Sus scrofa: one gene and its partners. Each later gene encodes a partner of the first gene's protein in a complex. Links are inferred from orthologs where the notes say so. Each region holds a gene or a part of one and is shown in the gene's direction. Other genes may lie near its edges.

Region 1 (3,429 bases):
CTGGCAGTACCTGCAGAGCTTGGCCGGCCTGTGCCAAGGCTGGTGGGGCCGTGGGGTCGGCAGCAGAGCCTTGGCCACGCTGACCTGGAGGCCAGGCCAGACACACGGGCTGGGCATCAGCACACAGCGTATGCCGAGATGATAGGTGCAGGGGAAGGGTGCCCGGGGGCCGAGGTTCAGGCCGCTCCGGACCGAGGAGGAAGCAGGGAGAGCGGGGGGCAGAGCCCGGGGCCCGGATGGCATGCAGGAGTCGTGTCAAGGCTGGTTGGTGACATGGGGACAGGGAAGGGGCCACAGACACAGCAAGCCAGGCCCCTGGTGACGTGACAGAAACACTTTGGTCGTGCGGGGGCCAGAGGTCAGGGTGCGGTGGGTTCAGGGACGAAAGGCCGAGAAGGAACTGGAGCTGGTGCGTGTCCGCATCTCTTTGAAGAAGCTTTGCTGGGAACAAGCTGGGGGGGCGGGCAGAGGAGGCAGGATGCGGGCACGGGCTGAGGGGGACACCCCACCCCCCGGAGGCGCGGTGGAACTCGGGCACAGGGCCAGGTGGCCCTGAGGGAAGAGAGCCTGGCAGCCGCTCCCCGTCCCTCAGCTTCCTTTGCTGGAGGAAGACAGGTCTCCACCCCGGGAGCCGGCCCGCCCGCGTCACCGTCCCTGTCCTCGCAGGGCCTGGAGGAGGGCATCTCCCAGATCACGTCCAAGAGCCGGGATGCCAGGCGCGCGCTGGTGTGGAACTTCCCCATCGACGTCACCTTCAAGAGCACCAACCCCCACGGCTGTGAGTCTGCGGCCCTCGCCCTGCCACCGCACGTCACCTGGGCCCCCGACCAGCCTCGCGACGTGCTCGCAGCCACCCGGCGACGGCCCCTCCCCTCCCCTTCCCGCCCTTCTGCGCGAGCTCGACCTCTGCCTGAAGCCCCGGATGGCACCTGCCTGCGGAGGGCGGGCTGGCCCAGGGCTCCCCTGGCGGCCCCTGCCCTGCTGCCCCTCCAGGCCCCTTCCTCCGCTGCCGCTGCCGGGCCCACATCCGCCCTCTGCCCCCTGGTCGGCGGGGCTTGCTGACCACTGGTGGTCAGGGATCGCGCTCACACAACAAGCGCCGGCCATGTGCAAAGCCTGGGGCGGCTGCTCCGGGCTGTGGCTGCCCCCATGGGCTGGGCCAAGCCTCCCCATCCCACCCGGGGCTTCTCCGCTTCTCCCACGTCAGGCATCGGCAACTCAGAGCCGCCATCCCTTGCTTCAGCTTTACCTCTGGCAGCTGAGCATGGATTTGATTTCAGGTCCCTCTATTCCACAGTCCAGGCCTTCATGCTGGGTGTGACTGGGCTGACCGGATGCCAGGCTGCCTGGCGGTCCTCCTGGGCGAGGGCCGCCATCCTGTTGTCACCATCCGTGAGTAGGAAACCTCCATAGGCTTCCTGGAACAGGGCACGAGATGTGGCCCAATCTGCTGAGACCAGCTGGGGAAGGCGAATAAAATATTAAAAAGCAAAACCAGAAAACAGCTCCTTGGAGGCAGCAGAGCTGCAGAGTGGTGGCGACCCGGCAAGCCAACACCCAGGACAGAGGCGGAGCTGCGAGTGCTGGCTGATCCCCGGCGAGGTGACTGAGAGGCTGACGGAGACGTGTCCTGGCCGCTCTGGGCCAGGGACCCACGGAGCTGGAAGATCCTTCAGTGGGTCGGGCGCTCCGAGCCCCGAGCACACAGCAAATTCATCAGGATACCAGAAGGGTGACATGTCATGAGCAAGTAGAGTTTGTTCCAGAAGTAATGCATTTGTGTAAATCTAAAATCAAACACTGAGACTCACTATAGGAGCTCCCGTCGTGGCTCAGCAATAATGAACCACCCATGAGGACGAGGGTTCGATCCCTGGCCTTGCTCAGTGGGTTAAGGATCTGGCACTGCTGTGAGCTGTGATGTAGGTCACAGACGGGGGTTTGGATCCTGCGTGGCTGCGGCTCTGGCGTAGGCCGGCGGCTATAGCTCCGATTCGACCCCCAGCCTGGGAACCTCCATGTGCCGAGGGTGCGGCCCTGAAAAGCCAAAGAAAAAAGTAGAGAAGAGATTCACTCCTTTAAAAAGAGTCACCACCATCCCCATAAATGCAGAAAAAGCAACATTCAACATGCATTCGTGATGAACATGAAGCAAACCGGGAGTAGAAGGAAACCCCTTCATCTGATAAGGCTGCCTACGCAAGCTCAGAGCAGACGTCACGTTTTTACAGTGCAACGTTGGAAGAGTTCTCTCAGCTCCGTCACCACCACCACCAGCGCACAATTCAAAGGCATGAGAACCAGAACCATTTCGCCCATGAATGACAAGGCGTTATGTACGCAGAATTTCCAGAAGAGCCGGCAGCAATCATTAGGATTAATCAATTGGCATGACTGCCAGATATAAGAGCAGTATACAAAAGTCAGTTGCTTTCCGTGTGAAAACAGAACATGTATTCTATATGAAAAGGGGAATTGACATCTTACAAGAAGGTCCTTTTCAGTAATGCCGATGTAACCCAGGGTGCCAGAGGTCCAGCTCTAACTGCGAAGCACAGTCACTAAGACAGTCGTGGCACCAGGACAGACAGACAGTCCCGTAGGAGCCCAGGGCAGAAGCGAGCCCGTGGGGAGGGAGGAGGGTCTTGGGACGTGGCCCTGGCACAGCTGGATACACCAGGAAGAAGAGGGAGGCTGCTCCCTGCGTCCCATCGGATGCACAGAGTCCCCAGTGATGAGGCTCCAGGAAGATTCCATGGGGGCACCAAAGGACCCCACAGGGGAAGGTCCGTGCGTTCAGCTGTGTTAGAACTCAGGGCATCTGTTCAGCAAAAGCCGTCACTGAGGGTGACGAGCCGAGCCATGCAGCTCACACCGGCTGCACACCGATGAGAAGACCGGCCGGTGGAGCAGCTACCGCCCCGCGGCAGGGGGTGCGTCCGAGCGCCCGAGGAGCAGGCGAGGGCTCGGCTTTATTTCAGGAAGAACAATTCCAGTTAAGGCCTCTGCTTTCTCTCTGACCCCCGTGCCCGTGTGGCACGCACTTGAGTCTGACCGCCCCTCACAAGAGCAGGTCCCGGGAGCAGGCCATCTGCCGGGTCACGCTTGGGTCCCCAGCTGCGGGTTGGGTGCGTCGAGCCCTGCAATCCAGGCAGCACCCCGGGCCCCCGGGCCGTGCATGGGCCCTGGCCGCCCCCGCTCCTGGGAGGGCCGAAGCCCTGACCTGCCTTGTCCTTCCCAGGGCCCCAGATCGTGCTCAGCGTGTACGGGCCGGACGTGTTCGGGAACGACGTGGTCCGAGGCTACGGGGCAGTGCATGTGCCCTTCTCCCCCGGCCGGTAGGTCTCCCCCGGCCGCTGGGCCCTGGGACGGCGGGGCATGTCCTGGGGCCTCCCGAGAGGGGCCCTTGGCGTCTGGGGTTCATGTACG
Region 2 (3,714 bases), on another chromosome or scaffold:
GTTATAGCTGATTTTTTGAAAATTTACCCCCAAATCTTTAGCCTACATATGAGACTACTTCTTGATTTTTTGTTTTATAACTTATTTTAATTTTTTATTAACGTAAATTGATCTACAATGTTCCAGGTGCACAGAAAAATGATTCAGTTATCCATATGTGTGTGTGTGTGTGTGAACTTGTGTGTGTATGTGTGTATATACACACACACACATACATATCTATTCTCTTTCAGATTTTTTTTCCATTATGGGTATTACAAAATACTGAATCGGAGTTTCTGTTGTGGCTCAGAGGGTTAAGAACCCGACTGGTATCCATGAGGATGCGGATTTGATCCCTGGCCTCTCTCAGTAGCTTAAGGATCTGGTGTTGCCATGAGCTGTGATGTGGGTTGCAGATGTGGCTTGGGATCTGGTATTGCTGTGGCTGTTTGGCTGTCAGCTGTCCCTCTGATTTGAACCCTAGCCTGGGAACTTCCATATGCCAAGTGTGTGGCCTTAAAAAGAAAAAAAAAAAAAAAAAAAAAAAAAATCAAACTAGTGACTGTAGTTCTCTGTGCCCTACAGTAGGTCTTTGTTGTTTATCTACTTTATTCTACTTATTTATTGAGTTCCCACTGTGGAGGGTGAAGATTTGGCTCTTTCTCCTTTGATCCCTATCCCACCACACACTGCTTCCCATCCTTATATCTCCCCAGGATATCGACATCCTTATTTTGGTTAGACCAGTATTCATCACTGACATTAATTAAAAAAGAAAAACTGCAGGTATGAACGAACAATCACCTCATTCAATTGACCTTGTTTTCCTTCCCAAAAGGCTGACCAAAACTATCACATGTCGGCTGGCAGCCCAGAAGGTGAAGAGCCTGCTGAAGGGTCAGGGCTTCCCAGATTACGTGGCCCCATTTGGAAATTCCCAGGCCCAGGATGTGCTGGACTGGGTGCCCATCCACTTCATCACCCAGACATCCCATGTGAAGGTAAAAGGGGAGAAGTTGGAAGGCCACATGCCGGTGGGTAGGGGGCACCTATTGTTGTGGGGGTGCTCTGGATAGGAGCCTGGACAATGTTGTCAGATGGACCTGGATCCTGAGTCCTGATTTTGCCCCACTGTTGCCTTTGGCCAGCAGCTGGATGGGTTTGAGCCTGTTTCCTCACCTGATAGCTCTGGTACCAACCCCATGGGCTTGTTGAGGGTTAAATGACGTGATGTTCATGGTGCCTAGAGGTTAGTCTATACATGGGAACCGCGACCAGTCGCCATCCTGTTCCTGGTTGGCGTTATACGAGGCCTCCTTTAGACATCGTGATATGATAGCTGTGTCAGGATTGTCTCAGCAAGACTCCCCCATCCACATAGCTGTCCCATCCATTGTTCCCTGGTTTATAAAAGCAGTCCACATGTGAGTGCTTTCAATTCTAAAGTTCCTGAAGGAGTTTAATGGAAGTTGACATCCTACAAATAGGTTCCGGATCACATGTGGTTCTTCTGCCCACCTTTTTCTTTTGTCTCAGCAGTCAGAGTGTGGGCCGCCGTCACTGGAGGCGTGCTCTCCATCTTATCCTTTAATTGCCCAGCTTTTGCTTGTCACAGTTGCTTCAGGCCTCTCATTATCTGCTTGGTGTATTTATAGCTCGGGGATAAAGGGGGTGAAGACTAGCTCGCTAGCTCTGATCCCGCCCTCCCCACCCGGTGCCCAGCGGAGACCTGTGATTACTCAGTCCCTGCTGTTCAGCTGCTGAGTCTTGGCTCAGCTCTGTTGCCCCATTGAACCAGGCAGGCTGCTTGGGGCTTCTCAGAGATGGGTTCAGACATCCAATTATGACCTCCCCCTCAGAAGGGAAGACAGAGTTGGCGGAGAGAGGCAGCAGGATGGACATAAGCACTGCCCAGGTCTGTGCTGGTCCAGGGAGCTCAGAGGGCCGGGAGCAGGTTCCGTACCAGCCTTCCGGGTGGAGCGGCATGAGAGTATCTGCTAGACTCAGTCCGTATCAGCTGCATCTCCTCCTAATAATATTCTCAAGGATTTTTCAGCCTGTAGATTTCTTCAAAGGCAGTTCTAAGCCAAGGAATCTCACCCGTGCCTCTTTGGCAGGCACCAAATTTAGCAGGCCTGCTAGCTTCTCATGCCCTAAAGAGATGTATCTTTAAAAACTTTTTACTGTGGGAAACTTTCTTACCTACACAGAAGTAGAACACTACAGTGGAATTCCATCTCCCACTGTACGGCTTCAACATTATCACGTTTACCAACTGAAGAAACTAAAGGCAAGAAAGAGGTCTGGAAGGCCCACTTGCCAATTTTCCCCATGGGGCAGACCAAACAAAGGTCCTAGGGCAGAGGCCTCAGGCCTGGCTCCTAGTGTCCAGCCTGCACTTGGGTAGCGCCACTGTGGCGCCAGTGCTCTCGGTTCAGATGGAGAGTTAATGTCTTTGACAACTTAAGACACTGTCTGTTTACCCTGATGTAACATCTTCATTGCCAACTGGTGAAATCAGATAAATGAGAAGAAAGCCCTTAAATTTTCTCTAAGTGCATTTTAACATGGTATGCAGTCAGGTTTTATTTCTCTCTGATAATAATACTACTTCCCACTCCCTCCCCTGTTGCCAGTTTCTCCTCTAAGGTATCTCTGTGGTGGATGTAAACAGGTAGGTGAGGTTAGAGCTCCTAAAGCCCTGGAGGTTCCACATTTAGCTATTAGAGTTACCACAACTCCCAGGTAAATGCTGGCCTCTTTAGAAATAGGAAGGGATGGAAAAATTATGCTTTAGGTGGAGCATTGAGTACTTTAAAATATGTGCTTTCTCTAAGCTGTTTTTATCTGAACTTCTAGAGTCTATTCATTCTCTTGTTCAGAACATTTTGTAATATGTGAAACATTTTATAATTAAAACTCTGAACTGCAGATTAAGTTTGACTTGAGGTTGTATAATACGTTGATTAATGGCATTTTGTTTTGCAGGATTCTTGCCAGCTCCCAGTGGCTTTGGCTATAGAAGTGAAGTGGACTAAATATGGATCCTTATTGAACCCACAGGCTAAAATAGTCAATGTAACTGCAAATCTAATTTCATCTTCTTTTTCTGAGGTAGGCCTAACTTTAAAGGTATGGGTTAAGACATGAGTCCAGACAAAACTCAGTTGTGATAGATGAAATTTATTATTTTGTAAAAAAAAAAAAAAAGAATAATTAAAATTTAAACAATCTGAATTGTTAAAACAGCTTAGCAGTCATTATCTTTTAGAGGAAAAAAATTCCACTGAACACAGTGGTTTTAGTCACATTAGCATTCTTGTTTAGATTTGAAATTTACAATTCTCATGAAAATTGAGCTGTGAATGATATTGATGTGTTAGGACAACCTGAATGACAGCTGTCTCCTCTGAGTTAATGGCTGATGAGCCCTCTGCGTGGCTACCAGATTCATGAACCGACAGCAGTTGGGTGAGGAAGGGAATGAGAGCTGTCCCACCTTTGTTATCCTGGTAACACGCTGGAAGGCAGGGCTTGCATCACTCTGACTTTTTATTACAGACCCACTTAGGAAATGAAAGGACAATTCTTATTTCTACTGCGGTTACTTTTGTGGATGTATCTGCACCTGCAGAGGCAGGCTTCAGAGCTCGGCCAACCATCAACGCCAGGCTGCCCTTTAATTTCTTCTTCCCGTTTGTTTGACGTAAGTCATTAAACAAGGAAACTACA
Region 3 (4,229 bases), on another chromosome or scaffold:
GCTCATTGTGTTACTCATAGGCCCTGGGTACCAGGGAACCAGGATGCCACAATGATGCTCCTGTGTTTGTTATTTCAATCTTATTGCCTATTTTTAGCACCGATGGGAGCTACTCCTTGCTGTCTATGACAGGAGTCAGCAAAATTTTACTTAAAGGGCCAGATTGTAAATATTTAAGCCTGTGAGCCATATAGTCCTAACAAGTGATGCAACGACTCAGCCTGAAAGCATGAAAGCCTATTACATGAAAGCAGATGTATTTCATGGATGTGGCTGTGTCCCCCCCAAAAAAACTGGAAGAAACAGGTCTTCAGATAGGTGTTTTGGGGAGAAGACTTTATGAACCCAATCCTGGCATCTCCTCATATCTAGAAAAGCGCTAAAATCCTTCATGGTGATGCCTGCTCCTCATGACTAGCGGGAAACTTCACCAAAGGAGAGTAACTTTCTGCTAAATTGTACCACCCCTTTCACCAAAATCACATATATACTGGCATTGCCCCCACTTTTTTGGAGCATTTTTTTTTCCAGAGCTATCTGAAATGCTGCCTCCCAGGCTATAGTCCTCACTTTGACGGCCCAAAAATTTAACTCACAATTCTCACATTGCGCATTTTTTAAAAGTCTACAAGTGTGACATCTTTTTCCTGTCCTACCCTTCCTGACAGTGGGCTAACCCCTATGTCACCCTGAGTCCATTCAAACCCCTTCTTCCTGTGATGGAACATGATGGAGGAAAATGTAAGAAAAAGAATGTATGTATATGTGTAACTGGGTCACTTTACTGTACAGCAGAAATTGACAGAACATTGTATCAACTACAATAAACAAAATTTTAAAAAAGCAAAAAACAACCCTTCTTCCTAGTCCCCTGCCCTGTGGGGTAACACATTTTTACTGCTCCAAATCATAACAAGTTTCAAAGCCCAGTTTACAGGCCATGTCTTGGAAACGTCTCCCAACCCCTACCGAGAGTACTTTGTCTTCTCAACTGCCACTGCACATTGGGGTCAAGTGCTGATTATATTTCATCTTTTGCTCTTATTTATGCTCCTTGAAAGGAGCCTCCAGTTCCGACTAACTTTGGTACCTTCTTCTTCTTCTTTTTATTTTTTTTATTTTGTTTGTCTTTTTAGTTTTTAGGGCCGCAGCCGTGGCACATGGATGTTCCCAGGCTGGGGGTCGAATTGAAGCTGTAGCTGCCAGTCTATGCCACAGCAACCTGGGATCCTGGCCACGTCTGCAACCTACACCACAGTTAACCACAGCGCTGGATCCTTAACCCACTGAGCAAGGCCAAGGATCCAACTTGCATCCTCATAGATACCAGTCAGGTTCCTTTCCGCTGAGCCACAAGGGAAACTCCAACTTTGGTATCTTCTAACTCCCTGGTACATAAATCAGATGCATAGAAAAACCCTACCCCCGCATCCCCTCCCCTCAGAAAAAGACTGTTTACACAAAGGATCCCCAAACTCCACGCCGCATTTGCAGCGCACTGTCGCGCACACTATTTCTCATTTTAAGACCCATGTTAGTAAAGAAACCATGGGACCAGGGCCTATTCACCAACTCTGATCACATTACCACTACTGGCTGCTTCGAACAATTCCTGGTAAATTTGGGATGGGGGCGGGGCGAAAACTGCCCCGCCCTCGGAGTCCTGCAGACGACATCATCTGCTTTCTTATCAGTCCTCTGCCAAAACCCCAGCGAAGTCGGTTCGCGGCCCGCGCTCCTCCCGGCGCAGGCGTGGCCGTCACAAGAGTGCCCCCGGCCCCAGGTAACCATCGAGTGCAGCAGGCGGATAGAAGGGCCCGAATCCAGGGCCGCTCCGTCCCTCGCTTCCGGCAACGCCTCGCTGCTCCAGGAGTGCTGTAGCCGCGTATGCAGTTTCCATGGGGACTGAAGATGGCGCCGCGAGGTGAGGTTCTGGAGGTGTGTGAGTTGCTGGTCCTGATCCCTTCAGTTTCCCCCCCCACCCCGCCCTCCTCTCCCAGCGTCGACCTGAACCCTCCATTCTCCTCACTTGTCCACAGCAGGGTTTAGCAGCCTCACCTACCCTGAGTGCCAGAAGGTCTCGAGATGTGGGTCTCAAATACCCCCAAATCCTTGGCTCAGCCTGTTCTAGGCCGGCTCAATAGGAATTTGCAGCGTGGCTTCACACTGGCCAGTGCTGTCTCTGGGTCCCAGTTTTCCTTCCTAAATAGCGACGAGGTTAGATCCCTGACTTTCACCCCCAAAGCCGAAGCGGTAGAGTTTGATGGCGATTCTGGAAAGGAGGAGATTGAAGGAAACACACACACACACTCACTCCTCATCAGCAAACAGAAGTGCCCCCAGGGACCCTTTCTGTCAGCTGAAACCCCTCCACACTCCGTACGCACACGCGCGTGCACACACACACACACACACACCACACAGACACCTTCTCATCAACAATCAGAAGTGCCGCCAGTGGCCCTTTCCACCAGCTGCGGCCTCCTGTTTCCTCCAAGTTAGACACAGAACCATTCAAATAACTGGGGTTGAGCTGCCTGCCCTCCAGCCCGTCTCTTTTCTCTGTGCTCCTATTTTCAGGTAAACGGTTATCTTCCACCCCCCTGGAAATCCTCTTCTTTCTGAACGGGTGGTATTATGCTACCTATTTCCTGCTGGAACTCTTCATATTTCTGTATAAAGGTAAGGTCTGGGGTTTAACTACCCTTTCCCCAACATCCCTTCCCCACTTCAGCCCAGAGCCAGCTCCCACCCAAAGCCTTATTTTTTCATTCTTTTCTGCTCCCCTGCAGCTCTTCTTCACTGCAAGGTCTCTTCATCAGATGGCTTCCTTGAGAATGATTCAGTAGGAAGCCACTCAGCAAGAATTTCTTGAGTTTGGGAAATGGGGGCTTCTCCCTTCTGACTCTCCCCTGTCACCTCTCTTTGCTGAACTCCACTTTAAGCCCATTGGTGACCCTCAGAAGCTATTCAGCGCCGTATATCCGTGTACATCTGATCTGATAACTGGAGAGTGGCGTCCCCACAGAATCTTTTTTTTTTTTAAGGTTTTATTGAAGTATAGTGATTGCAACTATAAATTGATTTGCAATGTTGCGATAATTTCTGCTGTACAACAGAGTGATTCATTTACACATATCCACATCTCCATTCCTTTCCAGATTCTTTTCCCATGTAGGTTATCACAGAATACTGAGTAGAGTTCCCTGTGCTATAAATAGCAGGTCCCCACTGACCACCCATCCATTCCATATGCAGTAGAGCCCCACAGACTCTTGGAGTTAGGAGTAAAAGCCCATAATTACGAGCCTGCCTCTAACAGACATAGCCGCACCATGAGTTAACGGATCCTGCCCGTATCTCAGTAAGTAGCTCATGGGAAGAGAACATGATAAGACTCATGTTCTCTTTATTCCCAAGTGAGTGGGAGACCTTGTGTGTGCTGTTCGACGTTGTTTGCAAACTCTGGCTTTTGTATCGCAGGTCTCCTGCTACCATATCCAACAGCCAATCTGGTCCTGGATGTGGTGATGCTCTTCCTTTATCTTGGCATTGAAGCAATTCGACTGTTTTTTGGTGAGTGTTGTCCAGAGGCTATTTCCATTCCTTGCGAGATGAGCTGGTATCTGTAACTTGATGAACAAAGAAAAGCACTTAACCTTGGCTCACAATGAGAGAGTGGATCTGGTGGCATATCCCGTTACACCCTCTCTGAAGTTTCAGGCGGCTTCATACTTGGGGTCAAGACTTACCTGTCTATTGCTCTGTTGCGCCACAGGTGGGTGGCGGCATGAGATATTAGATCATTCCTTCCCGATTATCTAACTACAGGAGTGCCTGGTTCCTCTCACTGGTTTCTTGGGAGAAGAGATTTCGTTGTAACTCCATGTCCAGGGCAGTAGATCAGCAATAAGGTCCCCTCCGGTTCTCTGAAAAAGGATTTCTCTAGGACAAGTTTACATCCCCGGAGGTACAGAGCAATCCCTCATGAGTTACCTCATCCCTGAAAACGGTGTTAAAACATACACTGAGGGAAAAAAATAACTTCAACAAAAAGAGGTTCACATAAAGAACTAAGAAAAAGATAACCTCGTTTTAAAAATTAGCAAGGGAGGAGTTCCCTTTGTGGCTCAGCAGGTTAAGAACCCAACTAGTATCCATGAGGATACGGGCTCAATTCCCGGCCCCGCTCAGTGGGTTAAGGATCCAGTGTTGCCGTGAGCTGTGGT
Region 4 (4,399 bases), about 6.8 Mb from region 1:
ACACACACACACACACACACACACACACACACACACACACACACGAAAGCCTATTTGTGGCCTGTCAAACATTCCACATCTGCTTTAATTGTTATAGAAACAGGCACAGGAACCAGAAGAAAAGAATACCCATTGTTAAAAATAATGTGCCCTCTTCCTGGGGTGCCAGTGCTGGCACTCCCTGGATGATAAGACTCCCTTCCCAGGTGCCAAGGACATACTAACTCACTGCGTAGGTGCTGGCCTGTTCTTTTTTTTTTTTTTTCAATCTTGAAGAATTGCAGCCCCGACTTGTTTAATATTCTTTGTTCTGACAGGATATAATACAGTGCTGGAAATCATGCATCTTCTGAGCAGTTTCTAAGAGTGATATGGGAAGCAGATTCAGGGCTACTCAGTAGTTTGGCTCAAATGAAATTTTCTTCAATTCTTATTTTAGATCCTTTATTGATTATTATCATTGGCAACGGGAAGAAGAGCGATGATCCGGTAAGAGGGTAGGGAGGTCCCTGTGAGGTTGTGCATATGAGAAATGAACTCCGGCCAGAACTTTCCGTTCTGCCTGGAACCCTTTTGAGGCCCAAAGGTCAGGGAGGTCGCTGATAGTGAGAGATGCTTGGATAGTAGCTGGGCAAAGTCAAGTGCCCACGCCTCAAAGAGATAAGGAAATCCTTGCAGAGTCTGCATCGACACCCTCGCTCCTGGCCTCCCGGGGACGCAAGGTCTCATTCCCTGCCTCCACCCCCATCCCCAGCCCTTTCTGGTCCTCTTTGTTCCCTCTCTTCCCCAAACACACTTCTTGGGGCACACCCTAGTCCAAGAGAGCGGGCCACTTTCCGCGATGTGCAAATCCCTCACCAGTCTGAGCAAAGGTGTCTGGGGCGTGAGGGAGGGGGAACTAGAATCAACGAAGGTGCAGGTATGGGGTCCTCCAACGACCAGGGGCTCTGGGACAACAAGTGGCAGCCGGACAACATAGGCACATCCACCTCTCCACGTTCGGCCCAGGGCACGTGGGAGCTAAAGGAATGCGGAGGAGGGAAGGAGAGAGAGCATCCAGGCCTCAGGCACAGACAGCCGTGTCCGGAGGTTCATCCGGGACAACGCAGCAGGGGTTGGGGGTCGGGCTGCACCCGGCGTGGGCATCCGGAGAAGGGGGGGGTCCCAGGCTAGGCCCGGAGGGTTTCCGTTCGCCGGCGCTGCGCGGGCAGACTGGACGATGCAGGGCAGCGCCACCGCACACTCGGTGCTGACCGCTCGGCTGCTAGTGACCAGGCAACGGATAATCGGCCTCCCGCCGGAATCAAGTACGACGCAACCTGACTTGCAGTCCCGCGACGGCACGCAGCTGCTTGACAGTTTAATGCTCTCGCGAGATTTTCAGAGATCCGGTCGCAGCACCAGCTACCGCAGTTACCAAGGCAACTGGGCGGTGCCAGCGCGAGCGGGAAGGAGGCGAACGTCGAATTTTTGTCTGCTAGCCTAGGAGACTTGAGGACTGGCCCTCCCCGAGTTTCCAGCCCTAGAAACCCCGGCCTCTGCTCCAGGCAGTACCCCGTCCCCTGGGGGCCATGAGCCGGGTCTCGGGGCTCGTGCCCTCTCGCTTCCTGACGCTCCTGGCGCATCTGGTGGTCGTCATCACCTTATTCTGGTCCAGGGTAAGACCCACGGCCCCGCTCCGTTAGTCCACGCTCCCACCTTGGAGTGGTCCTGGCCCCACTCTACGCCTCTCCCCGGGGGCTTACCCGGTCGGGTGCTCCCCCCCCCGCCCCCACCCCGCCACCGCCGCCCCTCTCTCAACTTCTTTCTTTCTGCCCTGCTCCTCAGGACAGCAACATCCAGGCCTGCCTGCCTCTCACGTTCACCCCTGAGGAGTATGAGAAGCAGGATATTCAGTGAGCACCTGGGGCAGGGTGGTCAGAATTAAGCAGTCGTGGAAGTGAAGGGGTCTTAGAAAAAGTTCAAGAGGCCTAAGCCCACACCCTTCCTTTCTGCAGGCTGGTGGCAGCGCTTTCTGTCACCCTGGGCCTCTTTGCAGTGGAGCTGGTCGGTTTCTTCTCAGGAGTTTCCATGTTCAACAGCACCCAGAGCCTCATCTGTATCCTTTCTTCCGTGCACCTTTCCTGCACCGGCCATTTTCATCACAGCTCCTCTCCGCCACCTAACTAGGCCTTTCTGGTACATTGGTGTTTGTTCTAGTAGGCAAACAGAGTCCCTCCAGTTGAGAAATCTTCTTAGGCACTGTGGGAGATTTAATACAATCTTTGGGCATCTGTTAAGCTCCTGCTATACATCAGTCACTGGAGATCTCAAAATGGGAGTAAAACACAATTTTCTACCTTGAGGAAGAGTTAGACACAGACAGACATCTGTAATTCCGTGTGATAAGCACTGTGCCACGGGATGTGTAAAGATATGAAGCTTGTGGGGACACAGACGAGACAGAGGACGTGAGGGAGATGGATTAGGGAAGGCTTTGGTACTTGAATTGTGGTCAGGGAGGACCAGGGTGCTGGAAAGTGATTCCAGCAGAGAGTAAAAGGTCACAGAGTGCTTGGAACAGATGGGGAGGCTACTACCTCACCTGAACGGTCCAGGCTAGATATGGGGTGGGGGTTGCTTAAGGTCCCAGCTGTGCAGACTCAGCTCCTCTACTCACATGGCTGCCCTAAAACTCAGGATTCAGGGCTGCTGGCTCTGGCCTTTGCAGTGTGGTAAGAGGAGCAAGAGGTGCCCCGCTTCCTAGGATGTAAACCTGAATGTAGATGCCAGCCCCCAAACCGGCCTTTTCTGACCCATTACTACCTATTGATCCAAAGGATTTCCTTGACTCTAGTGTGTTCCAAGCCATTGGGGCTCACTGTAGTGCATCTGTGGCCCTGTCCTTTTTCATATTTGAGCGTTGGGAATGCACCACGTACTGGTACATTTTTGTCTTCTGCAGGTACGGTAGCACCCAATGTTTGGGCATGGGAAAGCAACATTAACTCTAAATCTGAAGATTTCCCTCACCCAGCTCTTTACTCCATGTATAAAATATCAGATCCACTCAACATCCTTTTTTGAAGTCCCCTCCCTCCTACATTTGGGGGTGGTATCTCTGGCTTGGGGATTTGGATTTTTTTATTGGATGAAGGGGACCCCGAAACCACCACCTATCTTCCGCAGTGCCCTCCCAGCCGTCACTGAAATAGCGTTATTCATCAGCGTCTTTGGGCTGAAAAAGAAACCTTTCTGATACCTTCATGACCGGAAGTACGGATGAAGGCTGGAAGAGCGAGGGATCGCTCACCGTTCCTGGAAGAAGGAAGTCAGAGGCTCCAGCTCTTCCTCCAAAACTGCGTCATGGAGGGTATCAGTGTAATAGTAATTATCTCTCGAGTCTGAAATTATGTGTGCTTTGCTTATAGTTCTTTGTAATAAATATATTTTTAGAATATGATCGACTTATAAAAATTTCAGATGAAAATTGGGGTGGCCAAAGTGATGGCTGTTTTCTAGGCCTGCGGACTGTAAAATAGTATATTCGCTTTTATTTTGGTTATTACGGTAGAAGTCTGGCGGGAGGGTGGGCGGGGATATGTAAATAAGGCGGTACTTACGGGTGGGACACCCGGCTGGTAAGTGAGTGGAGCATTCTGGGAGGAATTAGCTTATCCATTTTTGATAGCCAAATGGAAAAACTTATTTTAAAACATTTGGAAATAAATGTACCAAAATATACAGAAGAACCCAAGTAGGCTTAGTTGCTCGGACCAACGCAGTGTTTACTCATCCTATCTTTGAGAGGAATCTTTTTCCCAGAGTGCGGAATGTCACGCTAAACGTTCTTATCGTCAGGTAGGATAATCCTTACCTGTTCCTCCTTCGGGAGGGCAGAATGGAAAATGATGATTGGAGCTCGCATGATTCGTGATTAACGGCTCTGCGTAATCAGGACTTGCAACACCCTGATTGCTCCTATCTGATTCTTCCTGACGATCAGCGCTTTTTATCAGAGTCTTCACGGTTAGAAAGCTGTTGTTGTAGGGAAGACGTTGTACTTCCTATTTCTTGCTAGTACTTTCTTTTCAATTGTGGCTCTTGTCGCGGATGTTAGTGTAGTGCTAACTCCTCAAATCCCTTCTGCCGCGGAGCAGGCTTCCTTTTTAGTCTCAATGGCTGCAGTTTCCACCGGAAGGTTGGTCCAGGTTCTGAATCCACTCAGTAGTCTGCAGGGAACTCCCTGCTGCTGCTGCCTGGGAGGTGGTGATGACAACACGTTCAAGAGAATGCTGCTTCGCATTATATACACAGACTGCAGGAGTCTGAAGGTCGGTGTTAAAGCATGTGTATTCTCAGGGTCATGTTTAGATTCATTACTGAGTGGAATGGTGGAGCCCAGCCATCCCTGGAGATG
Region 5 (3,714 bases), on another chromosome or scaffold:
TGCTTGGCTCAGCACATCTGGCTGGTTGGTGGTCTGAGGTTTTCTCTAAAGGCATCTAAAGCGTTGCTTGGCAGCCAGACGTCATAGATACTCTTCACTGACATATACCAAGTCAGGGGACTGCAATTCCAGTATTTCCTTCTGATTTTATGTACTACACCAGCAGCATTATTCCCCAAATAAAGGGATTTTAGATCACCTTAAAAACATTTATCCACAGAAGTTCCCTGGTGGCCCAGCAGGTTAAAGATCTGGTGTTGTCCCTGCTGTGGTGCAGGTTTGATCCCTGACCTGGGAGTTTGCACATGCTGTGGGCGTGGCCAAAAAAACCCCCATTTATCTACAAGTCAACTTTTCTCTTTATGGCTTCCAGTCTTTGTCCAAACACAGGTTTTTTTTTTTATACAGCTCTTATCATAGTTTAGAGACACTTTACGATCCACCTTATTTTTGTACTTTGTAATATAAATATTTCCCCACACGGCTACAAAGTTTTAATTGGTTTTCTTTTTCGTGGTAGTATAGTATTCTTTTGCTTAGCCATTCAACAGTTGTAGAAGACACAGACTTTTCAAGTTTTTAATGTATTCTGACAAGTATTTTAACAAATAATGTGTGAGCAACTCTGCATGTTCCATTTCTCTTTCCTTTCAAATTATTTCTTGGGTGGAGGTCCCGTCATGGCTCAGTGGTTAACGAATCCGACTAGGAACCATGAGGTTGCGGGTTCGATCCCTGGCCTCGCTCACTGGGTTAAGGATCCAGTGTTGTCGTGAGCTGTGGTGTAGGTTGCAGACACGACTCGGATCCCGCATTACTGTGGCTGTGGTGTAGGCCGGCGGCTACAGCACCGATTCGACCCCTAGCCTGGGAACCTCCATATGCCGCAGGTGTGGCCCTAGAAAAAGAAAAAAAAAAAAAAAAAAGACCAAAAAAAGTTATTTCTTGGGGATGAGTTCTGCAGTGTAGAATTTGCCTGAGGTCAGATTGTTCTTATAGCCTTGACTATTTTATTGCCTAAAAGAGCATTCATGGACTAAGTCCCGATTGTATTGCAGTAACCACCATCCTGACCAACCCCAACCCCATCTGGCTGGTGGGAAGGGCTGCAGAAGCTCCATTTGTAATTAATGCTGTCATCCGATACCCTGTGGAAGTCATTTCATATCCTTTCTGGTAAAGGGCCAACAGGAGCTCGGTTTCACAAAAGAAAAGAAGGATTCCACAGTTGTCCCCAAAAGGAACAGATGTGGGAAGTCTCAGATTGGAAATTGCTGCCACTGGAGTCTCACAGATATGACTCTGTTTGTCTGCAGTTGATACAGAGAAAAAAAAAAAATTCATTTCCTGTTCCTATTTCTTTTTGAGCAGTTCTTCTAGGTCAGAAGCATCCATATTTATGTCTTAATAATCTTTTATTGTCTCTTTTATCTTAAGGGTATTTGAAACATTTTTGTCATTTTCTGTCTCAACTAAACCTCTGGTTTAACATTTACTTAGAAAATGTCATCTGTGATTCCTTAACTGTTGGTACTTATCTCCCGGGATTCTGGGAAATGATAAAGTTTGCCTGGGTCCAGTATGTCAGTATCCTGCTCATCTTCCTCTGGGTGTTTGAAAGAATCAAGAGGTTTGTGTTTCAAAATCAGGTGGTGACCACAGTCCCTGTCACAGCAGGGTCGCAGGGAGAACCATACAAGGAGCACTTATCCTAAGAAGACCCTTTCGGAAAACTCTAAGCCGGACCCTGGCTGTCTCACCATTGCCTCCCGAGACCTGCCATGTTACGAAATTTCTAAAAAGAAGCCCTGGACACTTGCCCGCCTCTGTGATTTCCCGTGTCGGAGACAAAGAACAATCCTGTCTCATTATCCTCTACACAAATGCCATATCTTCTAAGCGCCTACAAAAATAATCAGGGACTAGTTTGTGGAAACGGGCTGAGGGTTCCTGAAGGCTGTAATTTGCTTTGGTTTTTGTTTTTGGATTTTTTTTTTTTTTTTTTTTTTTTTTTTTTGCCTCAGACTTGAATGTCAGGAGAAAACCCCAGTCAGTTCAGACCTCTTGGAAAGAGTCCCATCTCTGGTCAAGCAAAGACTTTTCCTCCCTTGAACTGAGAAAAGCGCTCTGCATTTCTTTCCCCCCAGTGTCCACCACGGTTCTTACTCCTTCCAGGGCCCCCTGGTGATAGATATGCAAATCACCAGCACTTTGCCCTCCTGGGCATCGACGTTTCCCATTCAGAACTCGTTTCCAGAACTGAGAGGCCTTTAACCGGACCCCTGGAGCGAAACCGGGGAGCGCTCCGGAGCACATGTGTGCACGTGCGCCAGGGTGGGCGACTTGAGGTCACCAGGACCATCCGTCCACCTGCCCTGAGCCTAACAGACAGTCGTCTGTCAGCAGCCCAGCTCAACAGCCCTTTATCCCTGCCCTGCTGTGCCTGGCTCTCGGCCCTCCGTCTGTGCCCCTGGAATAGCGGGCTGCGGTCCGCCGGGCTGGTTCATTCACAAGCCCCTTGGCCCCGGTGGGGGAAGTAAGGAGCCTAACAACAGCTTCTTTCTCTCTGGCCCTCGCCCAACAGCCTGGACACTTGCCACTCCTTCTCCTTGACAGCCCTCCCCTTCTTGAAAAGGACACGGGGGACAGAGGCGCTGTTGTTGCTGTGGGCTCCCCCTGCCTGACAACCACAGAGTTTACTTGCAGGGCCAGCAGGACGCCCATCAGAGGGGGCCGCTTTGGGGAGGACCCCCGAGGAGCAGGGAGGGGACGAAAAGGATGCTAGCCCGGGGAGTCCAAGCCACTTAGCGGAGTGACACACAGTCCAGCCAAATTACCCTCATGACTAAGTGAGTGTCTGCAGACGAGGCCACTGGAACCAGCCTCTGTCGCCTGTGGAACAACTGACCTCGCCCTAAGGACTGCTGGACCTGCTTTGTGACACCGAGATGTCACTGGCACTGGAAGGACATGGCTTCTGTGACCTACACTTCATGCCCATCCACACACACACACACACACACACACACACACACACACACACACACTCATGGGCACATGGCATGCCTCAGTTTCCCCTGGAGACTCAGGTCTTACTTCCCAAGCACCTCTTCTTTCAGGCTGACCAAAATAAAGAGTTTTGGAAACAAAGCGCCTTTGACGTATTCACGCACAAAAACAGCTGAACCCTGGCCCCTCTGCCTTTTCTTTTAATAGTCAGGGCTGTTGTTATGCCTAAAGTTTTTTTTCCCTGAGACTTAAGTGAAAAATCATTTCTGGTTTGAATCACCAAAACGTAACGAGGTAAGGAAAGATAGCTAGAGATATGTATAAACACGGCTTTGCCTTTTATTAAGTTATTTTCAAGCAAAATGTGTACAGAGAGCCACGATGTTTTGTAACTTTCTAATTAAAATGTTCAAACTGCAAGGCTGCATGTGGCTTTTTAGAGGGCAGGCATTTGGAAAGGGGAAGGACAGGGAGGGCAGAGGCCGGACACACCTCTCCGGGTTACTCACTAGCGGCTTGCTTTGCCAGGGCTCTGCCCAAAGACCGTGGAGCTTTTGTTAGCTCTTTGGCCACAGCCTTCTGGCCCAGCCCCAAGTAAACGTGAGTTTTTGGTGGAATCCACACGGCATGTGGAAACCACAGGCTGGAAAATTACAGCTGCGTCTAGTGAATATCAAGTTATTTACAGATCCCCCCTTGCCAGCT
Region 6 (4,352 bases), on another chromosome or scaffold:
TTTTTTTTTCTTTTTCTTTGCTTTTTAGGGCCACACCCATGGCATATGGAGGCTCCCAGGCTAGGAGTCCAATCCGAGCTACAGCTGAAGGCCTATGCCACAGCAACACAGGATCCAAGCCGCATCTGCAACCAACACCACAGCTCAAGGCAACACCAGATCCTAAGCAAGGCCAGGAATTGAACCCGCAACCTCGTGGTTCCTAGTGGGATTTGTTTCCACTGTGCCACAACTGAAACTCCAAAGTTACATTTCTTGATCTGGGTTCTTGTTACACCTGTATATTCAGTTTGTACACTTTTCTGTACATAATTGTACCTAACCAGTTTGTCTGTTTGTTTGTTTGTCTGTCTGTCTGAAACGATACATCTTATTTGAGGGAAAGCTAGAAAAATACTAAGTGGTTAAATTTTTTTTTCTTTTTATAGCAACACCTGTGACATATGGAAGTTTCCTGGCTAGGGGTCTAATTGGAGCTGCAGCTGCAGGCCTATGCCACAGCAACTCCGGATCTCTAACCAACCAAGGCCAGGGTCCCAACCCACATCCTCACAGAGACTATGTTGGGTTCTTAAACCCCCGAGCCACAACAGGAATTCCTATTTTAAATTTTTTAAATCACCCACAATCACTATCTAGACATTACTACTAACATTTTGGATTATTTTCTTCTAGTCTTCTTTTGAAGCCACAGTGCTTGTGCCATCTTCTCCCCCTCTCTGCTCCCCATATATTTACACACACACATTTTACTAAATTAGGTTCATTCCTACTTAGTTTTACTTCTGGTTTTTTTTAATTTAAAGTTAACCCATCATTAAATATTCATTGCAAACATGCTTTTAAACTGCTTCAATGTATTTCACCCAATATATATGTGTATCGTATATATATGCTATGTATATATATATAATATTCCTAATATATAACGTATTCCTATAAGAGAGTATGTATGTGTATACATACATATGTGTCTGTATACATACGGCATGCATATATTAAAAAATATTCCTAGGATGTAATAATATCACACACACACACACACACACACACACACACACACACACACACAAGCTACTGGGTCATGAACAGTCTGTTAACTCAGCATTCATTCTATATTTTCTCCCAGAAAGATTGTATCCCACTGGCAAGGTCTTAGAGCTCCTTGTATCACAATCCAACTCTAGTCACTAATTATTATTTTTATTCCTTTTTTAAAATGGTGGCCGTTAAAGCAGGACTTAGGAATCTGCGGTTTGGCATCATGCTGAGGCGCTGGGCAGGAACTGGCTCCCTGCACTCCTCTATCTTCCAGGGCTGCCTGGCGCCTCAGCCCGCAGCGGGGCCGCGCGTGCGCCCCAGCCCCCAGCCTCGCGCGGCCCGGTTGCTGTGGGAACCTCAAAGCGCCACGGTGCCCGAAGACCCAGGTGGGAGCAGTACTGAGGCCTGAGCATGGAGCTGCCGGATCCGGTCCGCCAGCGGCTGGGAAACTTCAGCCGGACCGTGTTCAGCGACTCCAACCGGACCGGGCCGGAGTATAGCGAGGGTCCGGGTGAGTGGCCGAGGCTCAGCGCAGCGCGTGGAGCGGCCAGATTTTGCCCAGACCAAAGATGGCGGTTTCGTCTTCAGAGAGTTCACCGCAGTGCGGGAGGCTCCTTGGAGGAGGGGCTGGGCCTGGGGCTGGGGCTAGGACCAGATATTCGGGGCCAAATACCCAGGCGGTCTTCGGCTGATGGTGCTGTAGCCTCGCGGGCGAATTGCAAGAGGGGCGGCCGACGTGGCGCCAGCCTTCCTCAAAAAATACAAGAACAAAACCCGCCTTCGCATTCCGCGTCCAGTCCCGCGCCCTCCGAGAAGGCTGAGAAGGCCGACTTTGCTTTTCCTCTGCGGCATCCGCCCTGGCATATTATGTCCAGGATGGAGTGAAAACAGCCCAGGCAATCTCCCCGTCCCACCCCACCCCCAACCCCAGTAAAATATCTTTTCCTTTTTTTCTTTTCTACCAGAACAAGTATGTTCCACCACAAGTCCGTTTTCTGGCAGAAAGCATGAAAAGTTTTTGTTTTTGTTTTAATGAACTATTTTAAACGCTATCCAATTCAGAGTGGCAGCTGCCACACTAGCATCGTCTCCAACAAAACTCACCCTCTCCCTGCTTTCTTCTCCTTCCCTATATATAACTCTTGCCCTAAATCAAGTAACAGAATACCATGATGCTACATTCAACATGACAAGTGACAACGCAGTTTCCTGCAGTTTCCCCCTCTTAAATCATGATGATAGACAACATACTGTGAACCAAACCCGTGCGCTTTTTATCACTGAACTGTGCTGGGAAATAGAAATCTTTTCCTTTTGCTTGGTTTAGGGATTTTTTTTTTTTTTTTTTTTTTTTTTTTAAGGAGGCAGAGAGAAGTCTGTTCCCATAGTTTCATTTTCCACGCTGATTACTAGCCTGTCCCTCCAATTTAAGCCTCCATGATTTAGGATGTACAGAGAAAAACATAATGTGAAAAAAAAATTGACTTTTACATTTCTGATTCTAAAGCTTAACAGGCACTAAAATCTGATGATGTAAAGTATCAGGGGTTTTCTGTAAAGGGCCAGATAGTAAATATTTGAGACCTTGCAGGCCATAGATGCATGTAGCAGCCATAGATGATGGTAATTGAATGGACTTGGCAGTGTTCCAATAAAACTTTATTTATGGATGCTAAAATTTGAATTTCCTATGATTTTCAGTGTCGCAAAATATTATTCTTTGATATTTTTTCTCAGCCATTTAAAAATGTGAAAAAACCATTTTTAGCTCACTTGCTATACAAAAACAGGCAGCTGGCTGGTAGTCTGCCTACCCCTGATTTATACTATAAAATGTTTTAATTTAAATTCCATTTATAGAACTCAACTTGTACTTTTGCAAAATTTAGTAAATTCATGTCTTGTGCTTGCTTTCAAAGTTCATTTACATATTAACTTGATTTTCAACTGCATGATTATAAGTTTGATCTCTGAAATATAGACATAGCATAACTCTTAAGAGGCTTGTGTACAAAATTCTTAACATAATAACTTCTTTGCAAAATTTGACTACAGTGTTTGCTCTAAAGTTATTAAAATTTTCAGCTTAACTAATTTATCATATTTTTCCACATTTTCCTCTTTGTGGATCTGAAATAGGTTCGATTATTTGTACTGTAAATACAAGGGTATATTATGACCTTGTCCACAGCTGACCAAGAGTTGTATGGTTGTTATGAAAAAAAATCCTAGGCAGGTGAGTTATCTTCAGATTTAACAGATTTTAAGAATGCATGCCTTGATCAGTGGCAATTTAATCAATAAGTACAAGCAAAAGTAGATCATAATCACACAATGTTTAAAAAGTAGATCATAATAACGAGGGATATTCTTGGAGCTAAAGAAAACCTTGCTATGAGAGACTGTGATTATTTTACATTTTAAAATTGTTAAATGATAGATATAAAATACTCAGCTATAGAGAAAAATAAAAATATACTTTTAAGAAATTTTAGAGCCTTCAGCAGTTAACGAACCCAACTAGGGTCCATGAGGATGCGGGTTCTATCCCTGGCCTCGCTCAGTGGATTAAGGATCTAGTGTTGCCATGAGCTGTGGGGTAGGTCCCAGACTCGATCAGATCCCGAGTTGCTGTGTCTGTGGTGTAGGCCAGTGGCTATAGCTCCGATTTGATCCCTAGCATGAGAACTTCCTATGGCAGCCCTAAAAAAAAAAAAAAAAAAATTTAGTCTTTGTAAATCCATTCTTTTAGAACTGTGGATTTCAAAGTATGTTATCTGTTCTTAAATTGTTAGAATTTTTAGTCAAATTTAGGATGCATTTGTAGGGCTCATTTGTTTCTAATTTATAAAGTCTTTTTATATTTTTTCCTTTTTAAAAAAACAAAGGATAGTTGATTTAGAGTGTTGTGCCAAATTTCTGCTGTATAGCAAAGTGACCCAGTCATATATATATATATACACATATATATAAATATATATACATATATACACACACACACACACACACACACACATTCCTTTTCATATCTTCCATCATGGTCTATCCCTAGAGACCAGATATATTTCCCTGTGCAATACAGTAGGACCTCATTGCTTATCCATTAAAAATCCAATGTACTATCAGTTGTGCCACAGAGCTGCCTTGTAGGGGGGCTCAATTTTAAAAATCAAATTCTTGGAGTTTCCATTGTGGCACAGTGGAAACGAATCCCACTAGGAACTATGATGTTATGGGTTCAATCCCTGGCCTTGCTCAGTGGGTTAAGGATCTGGAGTTGTTGTGAGCTGTGATGTAGGTCACAGATGCTG
Region 7 (3,714 bases), on another chromosome or scaffold:
TCTCTGTATATACCTAGCCAACAACTGGAAATGAACTACCTTGAAATACTCTTGGTGTTGAGATTATAGTTGATTTTTTTTCTTTTTTTATAGCTCTCCAAATTTTATAAATTCTCTGTAGTAGCATGTGCTTTTTTAAATGGGGGGGAGGATTTTAATAGAGAAATTAACCAAGTGTTAAATTATGTTTGCAGATTAGCTTTAGACAAAGAAGGAGAATGTTAAGCTCTAGAGTAGGCGGATAAAAGTCAGGAGAATTGAGGCAAGAATACTTGAGCTGAGCCTTGAACTATCAATGAGAATTGGTTAGGTAGGGCATAGGGCAAAATGCTACAGACATATATATGTTCTCAGGATTTGGGTCATGTCAAGAGATATCTGGTCCATAACATTAACCACTGGGTCATGCATCACTACCTTTTCACTAGAATTAATTAAGGAAAAAAAATTTTTTTTGTCTTTTTAGGCCCGCACCCATGGTATATGGAGGTTCCCAGGCTAGGAGTCCAGTCGGAGCTGTAGCTGCTGGCCTACACCACAGCCACAGCAACTGGGGATCCAAATTGCATCTGCAGCCTACACCACAGCTCATGGCAATTCGAGATCCTTAACCCAGTGAGTGAGGCCAGGGATCAAACTTGCATCCTCATGGATGCTAGTTGGGTTCATTAACTACTGAGCCATTACAGGAACTCCAATTAAAGAAAAAATTTTAAGTGTTTAGAAAACAAAAAAGCCCATTTATGAAAGTAGTTAATTCTAAGGCTAGACTTTGTGGCATACCTTAAGGAGCAATAAATTAATCAAAAAGAAAAGCTAAGAATATGAGTACATAATGAACTTTTAGTACAAACTTTTTAAAAGTAGGTCTGAGTAAAATAGATGATATAAAGACCTGCAAGGGATTATGACAAGATAGAAATTAATAAAACTTAGAGGAGAGGGCAGCCTTGGATGATGTTAGAATCTCTTTGTCTCAAATATAGTTCCAATTCACTTTCAGTTGGCTTCTACATCTTATTGAATATTGTATTTTATTTTTGAGTAAGCAAAATTTTCATAATCTTGATCTTAATTTAAGTTTTTTAACTTTTCAGGAAAATTTGTGTAGCCAAAGAGGGTTGGTACCCAATACAGATGGTCAGACTTTTCAGATTGCAATTTCTAGCCAGATGAGACAACACTATGACAGAATTCATGAAACACTAACAAGGGTTTGTATAAAGTACAATTCAGGTATATTTTGTCAATATTTCATGTTATTTAAAAACCAGCAATGTAGGGCATGTTGCATTTATCCTTGTGTCTTTTCACATTAGAGAAATGGCCCTGCTAGACTGTTGAGTTCATCAGCAAGTACTTTTGAGCAGAGTATAAAAGCATATCATACTATGAATAAATTTCTTGGCTCTTTCATCGATCATGTATGTATATCAGCATTTATTTATTTATTTATTTATTTATTTTGCTTTTTAGGGCTGAACCCACAGCATATGGAGGTTCCTAAGCTAGGGGTCCAGCTGGAGCCGTAGCCTCTGGCCTACGCCACAGCCACAGCAACATGGGATCTGAGCCCCATCTGCGACCTACACCACAGCACATGGCAACGCTGGATCCTTAACCCACTGAGTGAGGCCGAGGATCGAGCCTTCACCCTCATGGATACTAGTTAGATTCATTTCTGCTGAGCCACGACAGGAACTCCTATTTTTTTTTTTTAATTATTTCTTAATTCAATCAAGTCAGTGGACTTAGAACCCTTGTGGGTTTTTTGTTTGTTTTCTAATTCGTGCGTAGTTGAGTTAGAATGTTGTGTTAGTTTTAGGTATAAAGTAAAGTGATTATTATACATACATATCTATTCTTTCTCAGATGCTTTTCCCTTATAGGTTATAACAAAATACTGGGATGGATTTAAGTTATGTAAAAGTAAAATGAAAAATTTTCATGTTGATTAGCATGATGATTACCTTAAAATATATCCATTCCGGAATTTTGTCAGTTACCAAAATATTATCATATTATTCATTTTAGATGTATGTTATATTATGGTTGTCTTCCTGAAAAGCTGGTTATAAATTGATTTTCAGAATATCTAACTGTGAATACTAATAATGACATTTAAAATTTAAAACATTCCTAAAGAGAATTTTGTTATAAAGCCAAGCATAGTAAATTGTCTTTTTGAAGGGCAGATTTGCTTTGTGTACTATTCATTTTTTTTCTCTGCTTCAGATTTTACAAAAATTGGAAAGCATTTATTTCACTGTTATTTTTGAAATGACTCTTGCTTTTTATATTAGGTTCATAAGGAAATGGACTACTTTATAAAAGATAAATTGCTTCTTGAAAGAATTCTTGGAATGGAATTCATGGAACCAATGGAAAAAAGTATCTTTTACAACGGTATCCTTCAAATGCCTTTGCTGAACTTGATTATTATTTTCCAAGTTTGAAAGAAACATGCTTGTAGTTACTGTTTTTTGATTTTATACTTTTATATAGGAAACATAATGAACTTAGTTAACTTAAAAGAATTACAGGGCGTTCCCGTCATGGCTCAGTGGTTAATGAATCCGACTAGGAACCATGAGGCTGCAGGTTCAATCCCTGACCTTGCTCAGTGGGTTAAAGATCTGCCGTTGCCATGAGCTTTGGTATAGGTTGCAGATGCGGTTCGGATCTGGCATTGCTGTGGCTCTTGCCTAGGCTGAGGGCTACAGCTCTGATTCGACCCCTAGCCTGGGAACCTCCACATGCCAGGGGAGCGGCACAAGAAATGGCAAAAAGACAAAAAAAATAAAAATAAAAGAATTACGTAGTTTTCAGTAGCAAGAAACAAATATATAAATGATAATTATTTTATAAGAAAGTAAAACATTGAATTTCAAAATCAGTGGTACACATGGAAGAGATAGTAAAACAAATACATAAAGTTCAGATTTTATTGGAAGGTTCATTTAGTGGCACACTTATAAACACTTAAAGAAGAATAATGTTCATGATTTATCTTGAAAAATTTGATTTTTCATTTTATCCAAATTCTTAAAAATTAGATATCTGTGATAGGAATAGTAACTAAACCTGCTCTTTTACCATTAAAAAAGTAGTATAGTCACTTTCAATGTGACCGAACCTCTTGCCTGGCTTGGGAAGAATGGAAATGATCTAACTAATGTCCTGGCCTAGATATCACTTGTGCACGTGTTAGTGCGTGCCGCATGTGGTGCCAGTCCTGGGATACCCACATTAGTGGTCCCTCCTTTGGGCATCGTGTTTAGTAGACTGTGGAAGGTAGGCATGTGGTAGGTGAGTGGAGTGATGGTGGGATAGAAGGCTGTGCAGACACAGCTTACACTGGGTGCAGAAAGGAAAGTAGAAAATTCTAACTAGACACGGGTGAAGTCAGAGAGTTATCATGGAGAAATTTAAACTAGGTCTTAAAAATAAGTTTTTCTTGTCAAATAGGAGGGTCCAGGGAAGAAAGGCAATGACATTTGTGCAGAAGGAGGAAAGGGTATTATGCACTTATGAACTTTATGATCAAAGGCTGGATTGAAGTGGGACAGTGAGAGGGGAGTGCGTGAATGATAAAGAGGGCAGAGACCGAGTCCCAAAGGCCTTTCTGACACCCTAAGGAGTTTTGCTTTATCCTATCGATAGAACACTTGTTTCCAAAAACATTTTTAAAGAAATTTTTGTCCCTCAAGGAGT

What was found.
Region 2: B9D1 (region 1) and TCTN1 share a complex: the UniProt entries of both Homo sapiens proteins name them as parts of the tectonic-like complex. The link is inferred for Sus scrofa from reciprocal best matches to the Homo sapiens genes B9D1 and TCTN1.
Region 3: B9D1 (region 1) and TMEM216 share a complex: the UniProt entries of both Homo sapiens proteins name them as parts of the tectonic-like complex. The link is inferred for Sus scrofa from reciprocal best matches to the Homo sapiens genes B9D1 and TMEM216.
Region 4: B9D1 (region 1) and TMEM107 share a complex: the UniProt entries of both Homo sapiens proteins name them as parts of the tectonic-like complex. The link is inferred for Sus scrofa from reciprocal best matches to the Homo sapiens genes B9D1 and TMEM107.
Region 5: B9D1 (region 1) and TMEM231 share a complex: the UniProt entries of both Homo sapiens proteins name them as parts of the tectonic-like complex. The link is inferred for Sus scrofa from reciprocal best matches to the Homo sapiens genes B9D1 and TMEM231.
Region 6: B9D1 (region 1) and TMEM17 share a complex: the UniProt entries of both Homo sapiens proteins name them as parts of the tectonic-like complex. The link is inferred for Sus scrofa from reciprocal best matches to the Homo sapiens genes B9D1 and TMEM17.
Region 7: B9D1 (region 1) and TMEM67 share a complex: the UniProt entries of both Homo sapiens proteins name them as parts of the tectonic-like complex. The link is inferred for Sus scrofa from reciprocal best matches to the Homo sapiens genes B9D1 and TMEM67.

The regions. Positions count from the first base shown.
Region 1 is NC_010454.4:60,165,502-60,168,930, forward strand, and holds part of B9D1 (B9 domain-containing protein 1), read left to right. Parts: intron 1-666; coding exon 667-778; intron 779-3,241; coding exon 3,242-3,338; intron 3,339-3,429. UniProt on the Homo sapiens protein: Component of the tectonic-like complex, a complex localized at the transition zone of primary cilia and acting as a barrier that prevents diffusion of transmembrane proteins between the cilia and plasma membranes.
Region 2 is NC_010456.5:32,003,692-32,007,405, forward strand, and holds part of TCTN1 (tectonic-1), read left to right. Parts: intron 1-820; coding exon 821-983; intron 984-2,970; coding exon 2,971-3,096; intron 3,097-3,145; exon of another isoform or gene 3,146-3,543; coding exon 3,544-3,687; 3' UTR 3,688-3,714. UniProt on the Homo sapiens protein: Component of the tectonic-like complex, a complex localized at the transition zone of primary cilia and acting as a barrier that prevents diffusion of transmembrane proteins between the cilia and plasma membranes.
Region 3 is NC_010444.4:10,119,296-10,123,524, reverse strand, and holds the start of TMEM216 (transmembrane protein 216), read left to right. Parts: upstream 1-1,264; 5' UTR 1,265-1,887; coding exon 1,888-1,924; exon of another isoform or gene 1,925-1,938; intron 1,939-2,580; coding exon 2,581-2,682; intron 2,683-3,258; exon of another isoform or gene 3,259-3,364; intron 3,365-3,483; coding exon 3,484-3,576; intron 3,577-4,229. UniProt on the Homo sapiens protein: Part of the tectonic-like complex which is required for tissue-specific ciliogenesis and may regulate ciliary membrane composition.
Region 4 is NC_010454.4:53,394,093-53,398,491, reverse strand, and holds TMEM107 (transmembrane protein 107), read left to right. Parts: upstream 1-1,427; 5' UTR 1,428-1,571; coding exon 1,572-1,658; intron 1,659-1,827; coding exon 1,828-1,895; intron 1,896-1,997; coding exon 1,998-2,098; intron 2,099-2,847; coding exon 2,848-2,944; intron 2,945-3,168; coding exon 3,169-3,238; 3' UTR 3,239-3,992; downstream 3,993-4,399. UniProt on the Homo sapiens protein: Plays a role in cilia formation and embryonic patterning. Requires for normal Sonic hedgehog (Shh) signaling in the neural tube and acts in combination with GLI2 and GLI3 to pattern ventral and intermediate neuronal cell types.
Region 5 is NC_010448.4:12,160,715-12,164,428, forward strand, and holds the end of TMEM231 (transmembrane protein 231), read left to right. Parts: intron 1-1,058; coding exon 1,059-1,164; intron 1,165-1,534; coding exon 1,535-1,715; 3' UTR 1,716-3,180; downstream 3,181-3,714. UniProt on the Homo sapiens protein: Transmembrane component of the tectonic-like complex, a complex localized at the transition zone of primary cilia and acting as a barrier that prevents diffusion of transmembrane proteins between the cilia and plasma membranes.
Region 6 is NC_010445.4:79,414,371-79,418,722, forward strand, and holds the start of TMEM17 (transmembrane protein 17), read left to right. Parts: upstream 1-1,396; 5' UTR 1,397-1,452; coding exon 1,453-1,552; intron 1,553-4,352. UniProt on the Homo sapiens protein: Transmembrane component of the tectonic-like complex, a complex localized at the transition zone of primary cilia and acting as a barrier that prevents diffusion of transmembrane proteins between the cilia and plasma membranes.
Region 7 is NC_010446.5:42,882,409-42,886,122, reverse strand, and holds part of TMEM67 (meckelin), read left to right. Parts: intron 1-1,097; coding exon 1,098-1,214; intron 1,215-1,319; coding exon 1,320-1,424; intron 1,425-2,303; coding exon 2,304-2,406; intron 2,407-3,714. UniProt on the Homo sapiens protein: Required for ciliary structure and function. Part of the tectonic-like complex which is required for tissue-specific ciliogenesis and may regulate ciliary membrane composition.